Alligator mississippiensis: one gene and its partner. The protein of the gene in region 1 binds, or shares a complex with, the protein of each later gene. Links are inferred from orthologs where the notes say so. Each region holds a gene or a part of one and is shown on either strand. Other genes may lie near its edges.

Region 1 (10,850 bases):
TTTTTCTAACTCTTCCATATAGAGCAGTGGACACTAACATGCAAAAAAAAAAAAAAAGTCACTGTTGAGGGAAAAAAAATCCTACATGTGCTTCTTATAGAAGCTCAAGATCATGCTCTTGCAGTGAGACACCCCAGGCTTCTAAGGAATGGTTCACAAATAGCATCTGTTTTGCTTAAAGTTCAGTATCACTTTTTGGAATAGCTGAGATATACAACTGGCCCATGAGTATCTTCTGAAGTCGGGATGAAAAGTGTTTACATATGCAAGATCTGAGAATGCACAGGTTTTTATTATAGTGCTGAGCTAGTCCAGCTGTTCTTAAAGACTGTTCTATTCCTTTTCTGTGATTTTTTTTTAATTTGTTTTGTTGTTTTTTTTTAAGATCTACCCCTGCAACTAGATTCTTTTTGCTGTATAAATCAATTTGAATAATTAATTCATGACTTCATTTTCAGCAAGAATGGGACATAGAAGTATTTTGGGTTTTTCATATAAAATGCATCAAAAGTTAGTAAAATCTTATTATGGGGTTAAAGGTAAACCTCAAAGCAAAATAAACTGAGGAAAATTCTAAGACCAGAGATTCTTCAGTCTCTTGTATTTCTTGGAGGACTGCTTTCCAGTTGCTGTGTCTATGCTTGTGCTATGCATAAGGAACACATTCCACACTTTTTATTGTTTCTTCACTTCTTAAACCCACTCTGTTTGGACATAGCTTCCTTAACAGATAATTTTAACAATGCAAGGGCAACTTCTCTTCTCCAAGGATAATCTTTTTCTAAGTGGCTGTTCCTGTTGCTTGGTACCCATTTTGAAATGTGTGCTCATTGAGTCCCACTTCCTCAAGACTTGGTTACCTTCAGTCCATTTTGCAAATGGATCCCAGTTTTACATAAATCATTCACTACAGGCTGCTCTCGGTGTTTCTGTTCTGTTGAAGGCTGTAGAGACATTTTCTAAGTTTGCCTTACTTTACAAAAATAAAACTGATCCAGGATCACTTCAGATATCTGATTATTCTTAAGTTATTTGGCAAGGTTGCTTTACTAGGTTTGTGAAAATGATGCATTTAATTAGGATTATGTAGAGAAGTGTCATATTCTGAAATCTTATTAAAATAAGAATTTGTGTATGCAGTTCTCGCTCAAATTGCTCAGTACTATGAGAAAAAATGCATTAGCGTTCCTTCCTGCTACATTTCAAGTCCTTGCTGCAATTGTGGAGAATCTTGAGTTCTCAAACACCAGCTGGAAGACTATAATGGAAACATTTAACAGTTTTAAATGCAGGGCTTACCACTGCTTCCCTCATAGCAATAACAAGCTGTAACTGTCAGTGTGCTAATTAATATGCAGTGTGCTGTATAATAGGCGTGTGACCAGGAGGAAACGATTAGCTCGCCAATTTTAAATTCTTAGCCTTGCAAACTGTGTCAATAAATTAATGTCTGCAAAGAGCAGACTGTACATTAGTTTTTAAGGACTTAGGTGCAAGATCCATCTAGCTGGAGAACTGCCTAGAACTCAGTTGAGCTACTGTAGTAGGAATGTGAGGCCTAACTCGGATTTCTGAAAGCCCAGATAATTAACTGCTATCACTGGACCACTGAGCAACATAAAGCAGCAGTACCCGTCAGAAGGAACCGTTGTATTAAATGCTGCTAGATATCATACAAAACTTCTTAAACTTGGCAGATGGCAAACAGCATATAGAAACTCTCCAGAATGTCCATGTTTCTTAATATGCCTTAGCTGGCTCTTTGCTGGTGTCATTGAGAGAGAGACAAGCTGCTCTGCTGCAGCTGCATCATTAGCTAGCAGCTCACAATCCACCTAATCACAAGGAGTGCTTTTGCATGATGATGATTAGGATTTTGTGGGCTGGCAATTAGTGTAAAGGTGATGCTCTGGTACCTCTGGAAGTGGGATAAATAGCAAATTGGCAGAATCATAAGGGAGATTAATTTTGCAGTCGTATGCTACATTGTATAAGGACTGTTGCTTTTCCTGTTATGGGAGGGGATGGTGTCTAGATTACAGCAGGATCCCAGTTGAACATCCCCTGTAGTAGCTGCAGTTCCTAGAAGCACACAGATAGTCTGGGAAATGGTATAGGTGGTGTCTGGTTAACAAACTTTACCCCTCGTGCTGTCATTTCCTGAAATGAAAAAAGATTCCCCATGTTTTTAACTAATAAAGTTGTGTCCTAGAGCTTCAAGCAACCAAGAGAACAGCTAGCCTTGATATGGCTACCAGGATATAAAACATTTCCCTTTATGTGTTGCCATTTGAAATCTAGATGGGATCAAAAGTGGTTCTTTCTGGTCTACTTAGTAAGCTCACAGTTGCAACCAGTTCTTAGTTGGACAGCTGTATACATCGCCAAAAAACCTCAAACCTGTAACTGCTTTTCTCCCAACAGAGGTTGAGGATTGTACTGGCTACTACTACCAAACTGGTTTCTCCAGATCAGAGATGAAAGAAAGATATTTGTTTTCCCACATGAAAGGAGCGTTCGTTTCGCTGATGCGAAGAGGACAGGACTCCGAATGGAAACAAGCTTTATCTCAAGCTTTTGCTTATAGCTTTAGGCTTCTGACATCTGCAATACTGTACTTTTAAAATAAGTTGTAGATCTCTGGAGGAAATGTGGTACTTGAAAGGTCGGACTCAATAAATGTCAAAGGATTAACATGAAGGAGCCACGAAGAAAAAAACTATGAAACTAGCAACGTGTTCAAGTCTCTGATGGAGCAAAATGATTGTTTTTGGAGCTTAGAATAAATGTCTGATAGTGTGAATGGAAAGTTTTATTTGAATGCCTTTTTCAGAGTCTCTTAGGAACTGTTCAATAGGCAGAGTACAGTAATAAGTAACTGTTGCAACAAATTTCCATTTTTTCCATCTTGCAGCGCTGATGCTGTACTAAACTAGGGCCGTAGGTTTGCCCTAGAAAGCACGCAGGTATTTTAGACAGATTGCTTCAATTTGGTGCTTTCCCGAGACCCTTGGGAAATTTTGTTGGCTTGCACTATAACAAACCAAATGACAATCTACTTTCTCAACATAGGTTTTTTTTCTTCACTCATTGTTCTTAGAGGACCTGAGAACCTGAGGAAAAGTGAGATATCTATATCCTTTATTTATTTATTTTTTTAGAGGATTTTTGCCTAAATGCAAGTTAATATTTTTCAAGTGTGAGAATATGTGTTAAAAAATGTAGTTAAGTAGCCAAGATTTTATGGTAAGAGACGTCCTCTTTAGCATATTTATTCCAAAAGTAGTACACCAGACTGTTTACTGAATGCTGTGATGAATCACAGAAAGCTTGAAAAAGGCTTTTGGTTCTTACTCTTGTATGTCTCTGCCACCTGTGGCATAGGATTTCAAAGCACTTTACATATGCTAGTTTTAACAGCTATAGAGAATAGGCAGGCATGGACTTTTTATAGGATAAACTGAAGTAGTTGGGACTGTAACATGGTTATAATTCAGTGAAACAGAACCCAGCTCTTCTGCATCCTTTTGAATTTCCCACTCTCCTATTCTAATGAAGATTGCTTGTTCCATATTTAACATTTTTTAAATACAATTTGCTATTTGTAAACCCCTACATCTGCTGGTCTCCATTTTAAATCAAGGGGTAGGACCAGCAATCTGTAAACTGACATCACGTCAGATACTGTTATCTGTATGCGTCGGACAGCTTGAATGTATGAAACAGAGTGAGAAGCATGATTTGATAGTCAACCTTTGCCCTTTCTTCTAAAAGGCTTTGACTAATTGTTATACTCAATTCCAAGAGGGCCATGCTCACAAAGGTTAGTGTGGGCAAATGTCCAGTGTATAACTTTACCAGGGCGTCGTGTTATTAACCTCTAGAATATATGGTTAGTCCCATCTTGTGCCTACGCCTCTAGGCTTTGCAAATGTATATCTGAAACCTGACCTGCACCAGCTCCTACCATCCCAACATCAGCTGTTTAGAGCAACACTTAACAGTTGCGCTTTACAGCCCTAATCCTGAACCACTCTAGCACACCTAACGTTATAATGGCTGTAACTTTAGTCTATGAATATTTGAGTCTGTGCCCACATTAATGGGTCATAGACTACCTATCCTCCCCGTAAATTGTGTATGTTTGATCATCTGTAATATACAAATATATTTTAAAATATAGTTCATTTTATATGGCCATTCTTAGATTCATCACGAGCTGTAAAAAGTTATGCTCGGGTTTCTGTTCGGTATATGCATGCTTCTGACCAAGTTGGCATGGTGGCTTCCATACAGCGTATGAACAAGGGAAAAACTCAATTATGGATGAGTGCCAAGGGTTTGGAGTAGGTGTCTTAGTTCAGATTATAGAAACGTGGACATAGGCCTCCAATGCTTTGACCTAACTTTATACATACACACACAACTGTTTCATATAAGACACTACACACCTCTCCCCTGTTCTAAATGAAAAATATATTTCTAGGTATTATGAGTAGATCACAGTGATCTACAGTTTTGGGGCTAGGGGGTGTCTTCCTTCTGCCACGTGGTCCCTCTCCACTTCAGGGGTATTATCCACGTCAGGGCAGCCGTGGGGGAATCAACCGTGAGCAGCCAGGTTGGCAGTGCCCTGTGCAAGATCTGAAGTCTGAACTAGTCAGAGCTGCTCCGGAAACATCTCTTTTTTCATAGGAGTAGCATTGCTGATGTACTATGAATCCCAGTAGGCTGCAGCTTGGGTTTCCATTCAATGCCGACAGAATATGGTTTTCATGCTTGTACATGTGTATATGTCATATTTGGGAGGTAAATCAGACACTTTCTTAGGCCGTGGTTAAATCAGGCACCTCTCTTCCTAGCCAGCCCTCCCCTGTGGTTTATGTGGAGTCATGGTGGTACACAGCCATGGTGGTAGAGGCTTGGCTGGTGGGAGTGCTCCTGGTTTCCACACAGTGATGGATGCTGCAATGCTGTCTGTGGGTCTTGTGAAAGACCAAACGGGGACGCTTTCACCTGGCGATCCTCAACTGGGGTGCCACGAGACCCTCCCGGGGGGGGCTACAAAAAGCCCTCTCGGTTGGGTTTTTTGCGGGCCTCTCAGCTAGACCTTTGGAAGACTTCTTGGGTCCTGACGACCACGTCTTGAGTCGAAACGTCGTAACTCGGAACCGATTTCCCCATAGGAAACAACGTTATAAATGGGGGATCGGTTCCCGATACCCAATTTTCACCAAAAATAACCCAGCGTTTTGTAACTCAATTGATTACAGATGAGCAATACAGCTACATTAACATATTTATATTGTAAAATATTGATTTGGAAGGGCTTCTTTGAGGTGACTTTGCCGGACTTTTTGACGGCCTCTCTGTTGGGCCTTTTGAAGACTTCTTGGTTGGGCTTTTTGAAGGCCTCTCGGACCTTTTGAAGGCCTCTCGGTTGGCCGTTTTGAGGACTTCTCGGACCTTTTGAAGACCTCTCGGTTGGCCGTTTTGAAGACTTCTCGGACCTTTTGAAGACCTCTCGGTTGGCCGTTTTGAAGACTTCTCGGACCTTTTGAAGGCCTCTCGGTTGGCCGTTTTGAAGACTTCTCGGACCTTTTGAAGGCCTCTTGATTGGGCCTTTTGAAGACTTCTTGGTTGGCCGTTCTGAAGGCCTCTTGGACCTTTAGAAGGCCTCTCGGTTGGCCCTTTTGAAGACTTCTCGGACCTTTGGAAGGCCTGTTGGGTTTCCTGCAGGCCTCTTGTCCGGCCCCTTCCCAGGTGTCTGGTCTGTGGGTCCCATCCCTTCTCCTTCAGGAAAGCGTGGGGGAAGTTGGGAGGGGCGCTCTGGCACCGAGTGGCGGTGGCCAGGTGGGGGCGCTGTGGGGCGGGGCCCGTGCGCATGCGCGTGGGCGGGGCGGGGCGGTGGCCGGGCGGAGGCCCCGCCCCGCGGGAGGCGGCGCCGGATGAGGCGGCGGCGCGGCGCTGACAGGCGCTGCGGGGCGGCGCGAGCGGGCAAGATGGCGCTGCGGCCCGGGCCCGGCTCGGGGGGCGCTGCCGCCGGCGGGGCCGGGGCTGGGGCCGGGAACGCGGCCGCCGCCAGGTAGGCGCACACCGCGTCCGCTGAGGGGAAGAGGGAGGCGGGCAGCCCTCGGCTCCCCTCGCCTGGGCGGCGGGGAGAGCCGGGGCTCGCGGCGGGGCAGCGGATGCTTCCCCTCAGGCCCCGGCTGCGAGTTGCCGGAGCGCTCCCTTGACAGGCCTGGGTGCCGGCGTGAATCCCCAGGAAGGCCTGGGTGCGTCCCTGGAAAGCCCAGTGCGCGCTCCCGGCAAGGCCGAGAGACCGCGGCAGGTGTCCCCTCATCCCACTGGGTCCCCGCGTCTCATCCCATTTTAACATCCCGACGGCGGGGAATCCTCGGGGTCTCGCGGCCTCCGGCTCCGGTCGAGCCGCGTGCCCCGGCGCGGTCGAGGACGTGGAGGCGGTCATTTGGGCGCGGGGGGACTTCAGGATAATTAATGTATGTCTGTCCGTCTGTCTGTCTGTCTGTCTGTCTGTCTGTCGGCGCCATGTCGCGGCGGCGAGGACGCTCCGTGGCGGGGATTTGCCGCTGAGCGGTGCGGTCTGGCAGTCGCGCTCCTACGGTCAAAGTCGGCGATTTGCTGAGAAACTCGCGTAGGATAGCGTTGGTTTTCACCCGCCCGGCGTGCATGGCGGCGGCGGCGGCGGCTCTTCTTTGCGCGTGCGATTGCTAGCATGCCCGGCGTCCCGCTGCTCGGGAGAGAATAAGCACGTTGAATATCGGCGTCGCGTCCTCGGCAGCACGAGCGGCCGGCGATATGGACGAGGCGGATGGATGTCGGTGTAGAAATATCTACAAATAAATGACGTTTTCTTTTGTAGAACAAGGGGAAATACAACGCTCTTCTGCGATGATCGTATATAAAGCGGAGCTGCGGGCCGTTATATTGCGTCGATCGCACGTGCTGCTTTTAGACGTTGATTTTCCGCTACTTTTAACTCCCCTTTAGTCTTAAGCCCGCACAGCGGGCGTTGCAGACTACTAATTACAGCACGCAACTCCTGGAAATTAGGCAGCTCCATATTTTACCTGGTTTTCCCGTGTTACAAAGTACCTGGTTTGTTCAGCACGTAATTCTCTTGTCAGCTGAAAAAGTTGTGTTATCGGGTATAACATCTTATTTAGGAATCGGCTCCGTTCGCATCAGTAAATTGTCATTTGTTTTTATAAATGAATTCTAGTACAGTTAATTGCAGGGGTTTAGGTTGTAGCTGTGTTGGTCTAAGGATATAGGCAGACAAGGTTCCTTGGGTGAATTTGATATCTTTTATTAGACCAACAGTTAATTATTGCTGTTAAAAAAAATTGTGCCCACTGTTGAGGAAGAAAATTGAGTTCTTTTGATAAAAGGGAATAACTCTGAATCTGCTTTTAATTGGATGTGTATACCCATTTTTTTTCTCCTCTGTGTTTGTACGTCATTGAAAAGACGCTTATTTTTTTCTGTCCCAGAATTCCTGATGTAGTTTTCGGTTTCTTGTACAGCCTAGAAGTAGACAAACGCATGCTAAATCTTTGACTCTACAAGGTGCACAGTGCAGCCTAAACACACAGAGAGAATATTTTATTAGAGAAACCAACTTTGTCACACTTAACCAGCTCTTACAGTTGGCTTCTAATTAGCTTCAGTTTTTTAGGATGCTTATAAATAAATCACCACTTCTCTAGAAAGGAATGAATATTTAATCAATTGTTCTTTATTTGCTTCCAGCATGCAATGGTACCTCTCTGCGCTTGTTCAGATTACATTACATTTCAGTGAAACTAGAAGAGATCCTTATTTCTGTCACCAGAATTTCTGCCAAGAAGAAACAGGAAGTCATTTAAAATAACTGAGGACACTTTGATAGAAGCACTCCCTGTCCAAATAAAAAGAGAGCTGAAAATGCTTTTTTCCCCTCAAATAAAATTTTCTCTCATTATTCATAAAGTAACATATGTTCGCTTGTAAGGATGAGGCTTGTAAATGCTGCAGGTTTCAAGTGAATAATTTGTTTGGAGCAAGGTGCTAGTTGCCAGTCTGATTGTTCTTACAGAAATGCACATAATGGAACTACTTTTAGTCGCATACGTTTTATATATTCTGGGAAGAAGTGCTGTTTTGGCAACCTTTGGGACAGAAATCCTCTACCTATAGCAGGGGTGTAAAAGATACGGCCTGTGCACTGGTTCCAGCCTGCGGAGCCCAGTCATTTGGCTTGCAGTGCTGTCTGGGTCTTGTCTCGGCACCATGCACACAGCACGTGCTGGCCCAGGCCCAGTACAGTGCATGTGGTTGGAGCTGGCACAGGGTCAGTCTGGGGCACCCCCTGCATGCAGTGCCCATGCTGGACTGGACCCTCATACTAAATCTAGTCCAGATTGGACCCACAGACTGGCAAAACTTGCTGGATTGAGTGCACATGGCTGGTCTGGCATTGGCGCCACATGTAGCGCACACTCCAGACTGGCCCTATATGCGGTGTGTAATGTGAGTCCTAGAATAGCCCTGTGTGTTGCATGCTTCACTGGGCCAGTGCAGGTTGGATGTGGTGCATAGGGGTAGAGCTGGCACGTGTGCCCTCCCACGGGATGAGTTTGACACCCCTGATCTGTAGGTGGAATCCAGTTAATTCACTCTGTCCTGTCAATACGCCTCAAACATAGTGCAGAAGGAACCCTCTCTTGCAGCAAAAGAGGAATTAAATCATTTGGCCCTTCTGCTTAATCTTTAGACGAGATTGCCTGTTTAAAGCAGGGCTGTATGTGTTGTCAGTATCCATCTGTTGAGGCCTGGACTGAAGCTACCAAAGTTGTTTCATGTGCACTGGCCTACTCAAATAAACCGATAAGCTTTTGGGCACAGGAGATCGGGGCTGGATTCCCTTTGAACAGTCCAGTCCCAATGCATATTTCTACGTTAGGTAGATTGTATCTTTGAAACAGACCCTCAGCAGGACTGTGGGAGATGTGTCGGGTAACAGAAAACCTGCAGACTGGTACTGAAGTAAACTGGTAATGTCTGTTTTGGGTAGGATGCAGGTATGCATTTCAGATTTGTGAAAGGTGAAGGCAAATTGTAACTTGATGGTTAGGCAGAACAAAGATTGGAGGGGCTAAGTGGATCCTGGGTTCAAATCAGAAAGGAGGTTGTCTGGAGGAAAACATGCAGTGTTTATCTGGGATTGAATTCTTCACTTATACACACAGGCTGCATAGTAAGAGGACTGGGTACAGCCATGAATCCAGCTTCCTTAGGTTCTCATAGGAGAATGGTTTTCTGATCAGTGCAGGTTTCTTTGCATGAGAAGGAGTTCATTCTCATGCCATTTTTCTCTTTGCTTTGTTTTTTTAGTTTGTCAGGTGACCTCTTGCTCACCCTGTCTCGAGTTGAGAGATGTTGAATGTCTACACACTTCTTTGTCTTTGCATAGTGTTTTGATGCAAGAGGTTGATGGAGCACTGAAAGAAATTCTTGGTTGGTAAATTATTGCTGACATCTGTCTGGGAATTGCTTACAAGCAGTATCCCTAAACTAGGTTTTCTTTTTTTCTGTTGGGCAAAGCTAATTTTCTGCTTCAAAGTGGGGATGTTGGTATTATCATTTCAGTTGAATTTTGAATATGTTTTTATCTTGCTGCTTTTGGTGATTTTTGTCCCCATCCCCCATTTATTTTTTTTCTTTTAACTGGATACAATGGAAAATTAAACACAAACTAGTGCATTGTCTATTTCCTCCTGTCTTTTACTACTTCGTATTTAAGAGGAAAAACATAAGGCAAGTGTATAGTATTTCTTGGGTAGTTTCTTTCTCTGCAGAAAAAGTGTTATAAAGTAGTTAATGATTCTGCTGAATCAGATTTATCCAGCAGGGGATGTTTTATTACTTTTACAGTTCTTAAAGGCCTTGCCTGTACCAAGAAATTCGCCCACGGTTGACCCAACACAAAATGATGCTGAAAACATTCCCATTGGTCATGTAGATGCCTCAAAACCATTTTGGTCCTCCTGTGGAGCTATCTTCAGGATTAAGTCAGGAGAATCCTTTCTGACGCCCATCAGTAGCAATTGTCCATGTCGTTGTATAGGAGGAGGCCACCCTGGTTGATTTTAATTTGCTGCAATTTGTATGGACTTTATCAGCCAGGTGAATGGCACAGTTTGTGTTATGTACCACAGCAGGAACTGATGACGTGGCACAGCTTTTGTATTCCTTATATTTGGATAATTGCTCAAATACAGTATTGAATTATGAAGTTGTTGACTCATGCGTGTTCTTTTGGTTTCTTTTCCAGCTTCATGTTCCCTGTAGCAGGCAGCATTGGCCCTCCTCAAGGTATGAATCAACTTCAGATGGTGGACACCTCTGTGCCCTTTTCTGTGCATGAAAGTTAATGTTAAACATCTTTTATCACATGTACAGTAATTTAGTGTTTGCTTTTGAACCATAATATTGTGAAGAATAAGCCTGCCTGCTGGTTACATTTTTCTACCTTTATCCCTGTTCAATAGTACTGCTAAGCTGAATCATATATCTTTGTTTGCAGTTTTCCCATTTAACTTATTGGATTTTATGGGGGCGGGGGATGTTCCAGTAGGTTGGAGCAAGGCTGTGGAGTCCTGAATCTGTCACTGAGTCTGCTTTCTCCTTGTTCTGGATTTAAATATATCAGTTGGTATACCTGTATTGTAGGTGTTGCAAGGGTGTGAGATCCTTGGATAAAAAGCATAACATAAATACAAAATATTAATAAGACACCTAAGACTTGACCTTAATCTGCTTTTGTCTCATTTTTTATTCCATACTAC
Region 2 (10,075 bases), on another chromosome or scaffold:
ACCATAGGACTTGAGTGTATCTATGGGGGGATATAGATGATGTCATGGCTTGCACATGAGTTGGATTTAAGTGAGGGAAAGTTGCACAGAGTCACCCTCACTCTCTCATCCAGGTCTCTCTGAATCTATTGGCACAACAGTCTCAAGACGTCTGGAGACAAGTCCGGATGAGGTAGATGGCCATTAGGTCCTACAGCACCCGAACTGATGACCTGAACTGTCCACACAGCCTTCACAGCCAGGGAGATGAACATATCTTTTCAGATACCTGATCCATCAGAGAGGACTTTCCAGAGGGAGCCAGGTGTAGCTGGGCAGGATGATATAAGAGACAAAAACTGATCATAGCTGGAGTCAGAAATGATAAGATATTACTGCATAGTACAGTATTGTATTATGAAAACCAGTATATGTGGTCTTTAAGTCTTCAGTGGATATTGAGATGGACTGCTTATTTCTTTTTTACAATGCTTTGTATTTTCCTGTTTTCAGAGATTCACCCCCCCCCCCGCCCCTTCATATCCAAACAGAACAGTCTACAATGGTCAAGATAGTATATCTTTAAGTGTTACATTATTCTGTTTCCTGTTCTCCACCCTTACCTCCCCCCCAACTTCCTTTTACTTCCTTTCAGGTCAACAGGGACTTCTTACAGTATGAGACCTCTGTTTGAAGAAAGTGGAACAGCCACCAGGGGGCAAAATATAATAGTAATAGAGCAATATAATAACTAATTTCTCGTGTTATAGCCTCAGCTGCAGAAACATTCCTAAGCTAATTGAAATTTAGAATATATTTTCCCAAAGCTTTACAATGATTTAGCATAGTTCATGCTTAATAAACATTATTTGCGAATTATTTTAACACTTATATTATGTATACAGGATCCAAGTCTTAAACACATTTTAACATTATCCATCTAAGATCTTACAGTTAAGCACGTGCTTAAGTATTTGCAGGAACTAGGCCCTAATCTCTCTCTTGGTCTTATCATTTGTTTTGTACTGTATTGTGTTATAGAGAGTCAGTTTCGTGAAGCCAAAGAAGTTAGAGTACAGAGGATTTGGCTCTGATTCCAGATATGCTTCTCTAAATAACTTCAACTACTTTAAGCTAAGGGACTATTTACTAATACTGCATATGGATTTGCAATATAGAATATCCAAATATATTATATTTTTAGTGCTATTTTCTGCTGTGATTATTACTGTTTTGTTCTCAGTGTTCTGTCATATATTACTGTTTTGACTAATTTCCAAGGGTTGTTTCTCACTCTCTCTCTCTCTCTCTGTCTGTCTCTCTCTGTACAACAGAGTGATTACAAGTTTTAAAAATTGAGCATGCCTTGAATACTCTCTTGGACCCAACCCTTTGTTCTTTCTTCTTTAAATTCTTCCTTACAATACAGGCAGACAAGGTTCCTTGGGTGAATTTGATATCTTTTATTAGACCAACCCAAATGGTTGGAGAATAGTTATTAAGCAAGCTTTCGGGTTCAAAAACCCTTCGTCAGGCTAAGGACGCTGCAGCACTTGCTGCGTGCTCTTCCTGGATGGAATGAAAAGTAAACAAGCCAGGGGCTGGGCTGGGCTGGGGAGTCAGTTGCCAGGCGGATTGTAATATATCAAAAATCCAGTGTCTATGTTTAGTCCCTGATCTCTAGTATCCAGCAGGTTGATGAAATGGAGCTCATAGGCTCGTCTCTGGGAAGTGTTGTGTAAATTTCCCTTGAGGATCAGGACTGAGATTGGAGAGAGAGTGGCCCTCCTGTGAGAAATGTGCCCCCACAGGTAATTGGGTGTTTCTGTCTTTGATGGATTTCCGATGTGCGTTCATTCTGGTGCGCAGTTGTTGTCTGGTCTCTCCTACATATCTTCCATCAGGGCATTTGGTGCATTGGATGAGGTATACTACATTCCTGGAGGTGCAGCTGTAAGATCCTGGGATGCTGATGGCTCTGTTGTGGGGTGTAGTAATAGTGGAGGTGGTGGAGATGTGGGGGCAGGTTTTGCTTTTCTTGTCATGGCACGGTCTGGATCCTTTTGGCGTGTTCTGGGGCTGAGGAAGTTTGCTTCTGGTGATGAGGTTGGCGAGGTTCGGTGCTTGTCTGAAGGCTAGGATGGGTGGCTCTGGGAAGATTTTTTTAAGAATAGGGTCTTTTTCTAATATGGGTTGCAATTTTTTGAGGATTTTCCGTATAGGTTCAAGGGATGGGTGATAGGTCATAACCAGCGGTGTGCGATTTGTGGGTGTTTTTCTTCTGTACTGCAGCAGTTCTTCATGTGGTATCCAGGTGGCTCTTTCAAATGTGCGATCTACCTCTCTGGAGGAGTGTCCTTGCTGGGTGAAATAATACAATACACTTCTTCAGGAAAACCTAGGTATTCCCCTTTGAGCAACAAACAAATAAAATGATAAAAGCACAAACTGGAAAAAGCAAAGATTATCCAACTGGAGCAGAACCTTTGTGTAATCACAGCCATACTCCCAAACCCAGTCTTTGTACGGTTCTCCTCCCTCTTCCAGAACTATGGATCAGACCCTGTGTCACATTTTACATGCAGAATTTGAAAGCTGAATCTTCTCTCTTCCATTTCTAATAGCCCATTTACTCACTAGGGCTGATAGCTCCAGAAAATTCAGATGGTCAAAAAGGTCCCAAACTGGACTTGAGCTCCAGGGGTGTTGTCACAAGTTGTGCATCTGATTAAGTGAACTCGAGTTCACAAAAGCTTGGGCTCTCTAGTTTGTCTATAAAGTGTATCTCTACCCTGCCTTCTGCCTGGTTAGGATAGTCAGTCAGATAGGACTATGTGCTTTGCAGAACTGGGACCTAAGCATTTTGCCCTGAGGTGACAAAGCGGCAAGGTAGAGAGTGAAACACTGACTTTGGGATCCCTTCCCCAAATAAAGAGAGGATTACAGGAACAGAATTGCTGGATCAGCCCAGTTGCCTATCTAATCCCTGGCACATGTCCAACAGTTGCCACCACCAGATTTTTCAGAGGAAGGGGCAAGAGAACTGCAGAAAAGAGTTGCAAAGTAACTTACTCCAATTCATTTTCAACGTTCCCCGAAGTGCCAGGGGCTAAAGTCATGCTTTGATGCTCAAGGGTTTATAACTGCATGGTTTTGTTATCTATATACATCTCCAGTCCTTTCTGAACCCTGATAACCTCCTGATCTCTTGTGATATCTGAGGGCAATGAATTCCACAAGATAACCATGAGTAGTGCAAAAAGGCATTTCCTTTGATCAGTTTTGAATTTTCCCCTTTGTTATTGTGTTATGAGACAAGTAACGAGAAGATCCCAAATTACTTTCTCTTTGCTCTTCATGATGTTGTGTATTTTTACTGTCTCCTCCTATTCACATCCATTATACCTTATGTTCTCAATCTTTTCAAACTCTTTGTAGAAGTCTTTCCCCATCCCTTCTAATTCTTGTGGTCCCCACTCCTGAACCCCCTTTATTATAACCCTGTAACTTTTTCTGCAGGAAAAATGCAGCGTGAGACTGGGAGAAGACACACATAGCACAATCCTTCTCCCCCAACACCTGCCCTAGGTTCACCCTCACAACACATTTGGCTTTAAACTAGCAGTCAGCACTAGCGATTGTAGTGCCTTCGTTGCAATAGACACCACACCCTGTGCGGTTGGAGTGACTGAGGCTGGTAAGCACAGAGAAAGGGAGAGTGAGCCTTTCTGCACAGCAAGCCGTATGAAGAAATGCTGAGGGATCTGGGAATCTTCAGCCTGAAAAAGAGAAGGCTGAGAGGGGACTTGGTAGCAGCTTACCACTACATCAGAAGCGTACATCAAGGGCTTGGTGAACTGTTCACCAGAGCACCCTTGGGGAAAAGTAGGAGTAATGGTCACAAACCCTAGAAAACTGATTCAGGCTTAACACTAGGAAAACCTACTTCACTACTAGGGTGTCCAGACTGTGGAATAAGCTCCCTCCAGAGGTGGTGCAATCACCTACCTGGGAAGTTTTCAAGAGGAGACTGGAGGGCACCTTGCTGGAGTCCCCTGATCCCAGTTGTCTTTCCTGCCTGGTGCAGGGGGCTGGACCCAGTGATCTTTGGAGGTCCCTTCTAGCCATGAACAGTCTATGAATCTATGAACAAGTGGCTGGGCCTTGGCTCCCTTCCTTTACAAGCTTGGGCAAGGTGCTTGCTCCCCATGCCTCTGGGTATGTGGTATTTCATGAAGTGCCAGCTCCCAGAGTCCCAGGATTGCTGATTAAAAGTAATGATCTTTCAAGCCTGGCAGTTTCCAGAGAAAAGCTCAGAAATGTGACCCTAAGGGGCTCCAACACTGACACACAGCAAACAGAAACAACCTCCCCGCCCCAAGCACACGGCTCCCCTGATTTTGGGCCCCCCTGGAGTTTGAGCCTAGCTGGGACAGGACTAATGGGGCTGGGGTGGCTGCAGCATGGCACATTTGCAGATTCACAGACATTAGGGCTGGAAGGGACCTCCTAAGATCATCGGGTCCAGCCCACTGCCCAAGGGGAGGAAGTCAGGGAGGGTCAAATGATCCCAGCAAGATAAGTATCCAAATGTTTTTTAAAAGTGTCCAGAATAGGTACTTGCACCAACTCTGAGAGGAGTCTGCTCCAGGCCTTGGGAGCTCAGAGAGTACAGAAGTTCTTCCTTTTAGCGAGTGCGGTGTGAGCGGTGCACCCGTAAGGTACTCCTCCCTCTCCCCTGGTGGAAGTGGGGGAAGCCTCTGCCCGCCCAGGCCCCACACTCTGCTCTCTCCGCCCACAAGGAAAGCGGGGAAGGGAAGGCTAAGTGCCCTATTCCAACATGGCCGCTCAGGCATCGCTCTGGCTTCACCCCTCTGAGTCTCACCGGCCAAACGAGCCCTTCTGCCCCACCTTGCCCGCCTCCAAGATGGTGGGCACTCCACGCTCCCCCGGGGGCTTCCCGGGAAGTGACGCGGTACCGCGCGGCCTGCTGGGAGAAGGGCTCCGTGGGTGGCGGGGCAGGGCGGGCCGGGCCGGAGGGGGCGGGGCTGAGCGACGCGGTTCCTGTTGCCCGGGGCTCGGACATGGCGTCCCCCTGACGGCGGCCGCCTGCCAGGCCCCGCCCGGCCCCGCCATGCCCGGCCCCGCCGCCCCGCCAGGAGCCCGCAGGTGAGGGCTCTGCTCCTGACCCGCCGGGGGGCGCTGCTCCCGGCCCGGCGCGGGGTCTGTGGGCAGGGCAGGCACGGCCCGGCCCGGCCCGGCCTAGCGAGGCCCTTCCGTTTGACCCGCCCCGGGCGGGGCTCGGCGGGGCCTGGTCTCGGTCCTTGCTCCCTGGCTCCGGTGTGGGACCCCTCCGGGCGGCGGGAAGGGCAGCTGCGAGTCCCGGGGGGCTGTTTGGCTAGAGCAGTGGGGGAAAGGGGCCAAGTGCTGCTGTGTGGGAGCCCTAACCTGAGACCTTGCTTATTGTGTCAATGTCAGGTGGCTGTCGGCGTTGCAGCCGCTGTGATCATCTAATCTTTATTATTGCCCAAATGGCATCATCGCCCTTGTCATCGTTGGGGCTGGAGGGGTCTCAGTGGGGGTAGATGGCAGAATAAGGAGTAGCGGGCTCAAGTTGCCGCAAGGGAGGTTTAAGTTGGATACGAGAGAAAAACTTTCTCAGTAAGAGGGTGGTGAGGCACTCAGATTACCCAGAGAGGTTGTGGAGTCTCCATCCTTGGAGGTTTTCGACACCCAGCTAGACACAGCTTTGGCTGGGATGATCTAGAGTGCTATCTATGGCTCAACCAGTGGGGCGCGAAGGTTGTGTAGGTGGGACTTCAACTAATTTGAAAATTTCCATGAATGATTAATATAATACAAAAATGTATGTAAACATAAAACTACAATTCTTGGGAAAAGTGGGGTTTTGTTTTTATCATGGTGGGACCGGGGATTTTTAACACAATGGTCGGTGGGACATAAGCAGAAACAACTCGAGAAGGGTGCGGGGTCCGGGGCTAATAGGCCTGTGTGGGGGCCCTGCCCCTGGATGCGAGGAACCCCGCGGCAGATTCGGTGGAGCCAGGGGTAGGGGGCTGCTGAGCAGCCGGATGTGAAGCTGGCAGCAGCATGGATTCGCTGCGGCCGCTCTGCCCATCTCCGCAGAGCCCCCCAAAGCACGGGGCCCGGGGTGGTTACCCCGATTCGCACCCCTTAGGGATGGCCCTGAGCGTGAGGTGCAAAAGGTTGAGAACTGCTGATCTAGACCAGCAGTTCCCAAACTCTGACAGATTGAACATCACCAATTAAAAACAATACAACCTTAAGTATCACCAGCACATTTTTGTCTCATAAAGTAATTATACTAAATCTGTTAACATGTACCACTAGCAGGTTGTCTGCATACCACTGGTGATACCTGTGCTGCAGATTGGGAACTGCTGATCTAGTTGGGGCCGGTCCTGCTTTGAGCAGGGGTTTGGGCTAGATGCCCTCCCGAGGTCTGTTCCAGCCCTCATTTTCTATGATCATCACAATAGCTGTTCTTATCATCATTGCCACCATTCTGGCTCCCGAGTCCACTCTGGGAAGTGGCCCTCTCCCAAGACTACCGGAATGTGGTTTCTTGGTGGAGGTGATCGCTGACCAAAGAGCTGAACACAAGCCATGGTAACTGAAGACAAGTAGTTGATTGCAGGCGGGGGGGGGGGGGGGGGGCCCTTCCTGCCTGTTCCACTTCTGAAAGTTTCAATTTCATTTCGGTGCACTGCAAGACCTGGTTCCTGTTACAAGGGACCTGGTCAGTGAGTTGTTTATTAGACTAACTTCACTGCAGGGGTTGTACTGTATTGCTGATGTAAGTTGTTTTTACTCCTTTGGTTTTAAACTGAAACACAGGGCAGGTTACTATTAAGTTTCAGCTGTTGAGCTCATGAGAGAGTGAATTTATGGAATATTGATTAAAAAATTGCTGTTGGGATTGTCCTTGGTGATTGACCTTTAATTCTAATTATTTCCTCTTCATTTATTCTCTAGACATGTTGTTGTTATGAACTAGACTCTCAGAAACCAGTTAGCCTTCTAGGAAAAAAAACAGAGAAAAGGCTGGGTTATACTGTGAGTGTGTTTGCAAGTGCACACAAACCTGTATGTAGGATGTGGTGTTAATAAAACTCCTTATAATTCTTCAGTGTAATATCTTCTATATATGAAACCAGAGATATAATTAAAAGAACGCACAATTATGGGTGGAAGAAAGAAGGGATATGACTTTGGCTGTTGCTTTTGTTTTTTTGGTTTGTTTTTTGTTTAAAGACCTTCTCTTCTGTACGTGAAATTAAATTAAATGAAAGTGAGAGCTTTAGGCAGATTGAAACTATTTTAACACTTGTGGCTAGAGAGACTTTCAGCTTAAATGTCCAATAAGGAGACTGTTAAACACATAATATTGTTTTTGTTGTTTCCTTGGCACATGAAATTGATCTGAAAAATGTAATAGACAATTGGAGTTCTCTTTTTGTGTATCTGTTTTGTATATTGTCCTAAAGGTATGGCAAAACTCCTATACTTTTAATAGGAAAAATAAACTCCACTCAATGTTATGACCTGTTTTACATGCTATTCTTGAAAACCAATAGTAAACCTGTTGCTTTTGTGGGTTTGTATTTTTTTGTTTGCTTTTTGTATTTATTTAGTAATATATCAAATAGTTGTCTGAATCTGCAGTAGGCAACTTTTATTTTTAGGGGACAGTATCTAAAATTACTAAATATCACAATACTCAAACTTCCAGACTAGGCTGTCATTGCAACTGGATTATATTTAATACATATAGAATTTAGAAGTTGGTAGTTTACTGGACTTCAAAATTTCCTTTTCTTCTGTGTCATTCAAAAAGAAACACGGGGAGGGAGATAGAAATACACCACATGCATGGTCACTCACAGACTTTGTGCTCTCCATTTCCCACTTTGCAGTTGCTCAGACTGTGCTAGTAGGGCTCTGCAGTTGCTGTCATTCATATTGTCTTAACTGCTCGGGTCTATGACTGTTCCAAATGTTAGTAAATTGATGTTGCTTTTTAACACGTGCTTTTGTGTAGTAATAAAGATAAGGAAACTGTATAGCCCTTCTTGGCACCATGTTTTTTTTCCCTCTTGCAGATTTTTTTTTCCAAGAGGGGTGGTTAGCTATATCAATCTGACATCAGGTAGAAGGCAGGGCAACATAGGGTAGTGTACATAAAGGCTAACTGATTCAGAACGGTGTAAGCTTTCATAAGTGACAGCCTGTTTTGTCAGATGCTTACATCTTTAAGGCGCTACCTTGCCCTGCCGTCTACCTAATGGCTTTAAGAAGGGTCACAGTAACCTGTTCTGGTGTCTTACTCATGCTTCTAAGTAAGCATATGCAGGATCTTGGTGTAAACATAAAATATGTGATGTCTAAATTTTCTGTAACTAATTCTTTCACTTAAATTAATACATTTTAATGTGTTGCAAACTTAAAAAATGAAGTTTTCAGACTTAATTTTTTCTGTTAAATAAAGCAAAAGTACAACTTTATATTTCCATCTTAACATAACAGTTGCTTTCCTTCCTTGATATGCTAGTGTCCAGTTTTTTTAATATCTACATTGGACAAGTTAATTCCTGTGGATGTGTGTGAGTTTTTATTATTTGTTTGTTATTCTTTTCCAAAGACTTGTGCCTTTCCCAAACCAGACAGGTGATAGATAGCAGTTTAATCTTGCCCTCCCCCTCTTGAAATAAAGTTCTTTCTACCTTTTACTGGGCTAGAAAAAACAGGGTTTTTTAGTGGGTTAAAAATAAAGAAACTAATGCCAAATCTGGCTCTTCATGTTATGGTCAAAAGAATAAACTATAAGTGGGGAGGTTTTGTGGGGGTTTTTTTGTTTGTTTTTTTTTTTTTTTTTTTTACCAAATCCAATTTTTTGTACTATGACTACTTTTTTGCATCCTGTTTGACCACTTAAAACGATACTTTTTCACTGTGTTGAAATCAACGTAAACAGAAAATATCTTTGTCCTGTTTAAAATGGTGCTTTCTAAAAATATTTTTTTTTTTTTCAAAAAATCTTGAGAAGAGAGAATTTTTTGGGGATATTTAAAAAAAACTGCCTGTATTTCCTTCTATATTCAAGGCAAAACTGTTCATACTGGTCCTGGATAGTATCTTTGTTTTTTGAAATTGGCATTTTTCTAGTAGAATTTTCTTTAAAAGTAAAAATAAATAAATTAAAGGTATGGATTGGCACAGAAGAACATTTTTTTTATTGGTGAGGATGTTTGCAAGGAGACCTAATAAATCACTTCTATTTATGATTCTTTGAAACAAATAATGTAGATCCCTTATATGGAAGAATTCCTCTTCTGAAGTAACAGAAGGAAAGCAATTGACTCCATTCACATGAGTGTGTTCTGAAGCACATAGTTGGAAAAGGAAATGTGATACCTCAAGTTCACATTTCCATTAGAACACAATGGAAAATAGAGTTCATTTTTTCAAGTACTGGATTTCTTCAAGCACTACAATGGTCTTAATATATCAACTGTAGATAACATCTGATAAAAGATAAATGATGTAAATCTATTCTTTCTGGGCCAGTTGAAGTATTTTTGCTTGATATTTGTTGCCTACCTGTTCTGTGTGTCTTGAATATAATGTTTATTTGCTTAAAAACTAGTGAATTGTAGCAGTGATAGGAGCATCAGCTGTATTTGCTCTTATAGCTATCATTACAGTAGTCTACACACCAAACTTTGAACCTATCGGATGAGAGCTTAGACTTCTGGACCCATTTTTACCTTAGTGCATGTTAAATTTGAAGGTTTCGTTATACATGGAGCAAAACATGTTGCTCTATAAATAAATGCAAGAACAGTTGACCTAGTGTAACCTCATTCTAATGCTGCGTAATCCAACATCTTGTTTTCTTAATTAAAAACAAATACATAAACAACTTGTCTTAATTTTCCCCTGAAAAATCATGGTTTCTGAGCTGAAAGCTGTTTTCAGATGACATATAGAAATTCTTCAGAGTCAAATTTGCTGGTCTGGTAATATTTACATGTCTTATATGAATAAGTAATTT

Evidence for each region.
Region 2: SYNRG (region 1) and AFTPH share a complex: the UniProt entries of both Homo sapiens proteins name them as parts of the aftiphilin/p200/gamma-synergin complex. The link is inferred for Alligator mississippiensis from reciprocal best matches to the Homo sapiens genes SYNRG and AFTPH.

Annotation. Positions count from the first base shown.
Region 1 is NC_081837.1:5,843,019-5,853,868, reverse strand, and holds the start of SYNRG (synergin gamma), read left to right. Parts: upstream 1-5,980; 5' UTR 5,981-6,002; coding exon 6,003-6,085; intron 6,086-10,336; coding exon 10,337-10,377; intron 10,378-10,850. UniProt on the Homo sapiens protein: Plays a role in endocytosis and/or membrane trafficking at the trans-Golgi network (TGN). May act by linking the adapter protein complex AP-1 to other proteins. Component of clathrin-coated vesicles.
Region 2 is NC_081824.1:214,442,588-214,452,662, forward strand, and holds the start of AFTPH (aftiphilin), read left to right. Parts: upstream 1-5,033; 5' UTR 5,034-5,148; intron 5,149-10,075. Other genes in the region: uncharacterized protein LOC132246577, read right to left, coding at 1,690-2,340, 3,988-4,107. UniProt on the Homo sapiens protein: Component of clathrin-coated vesicles.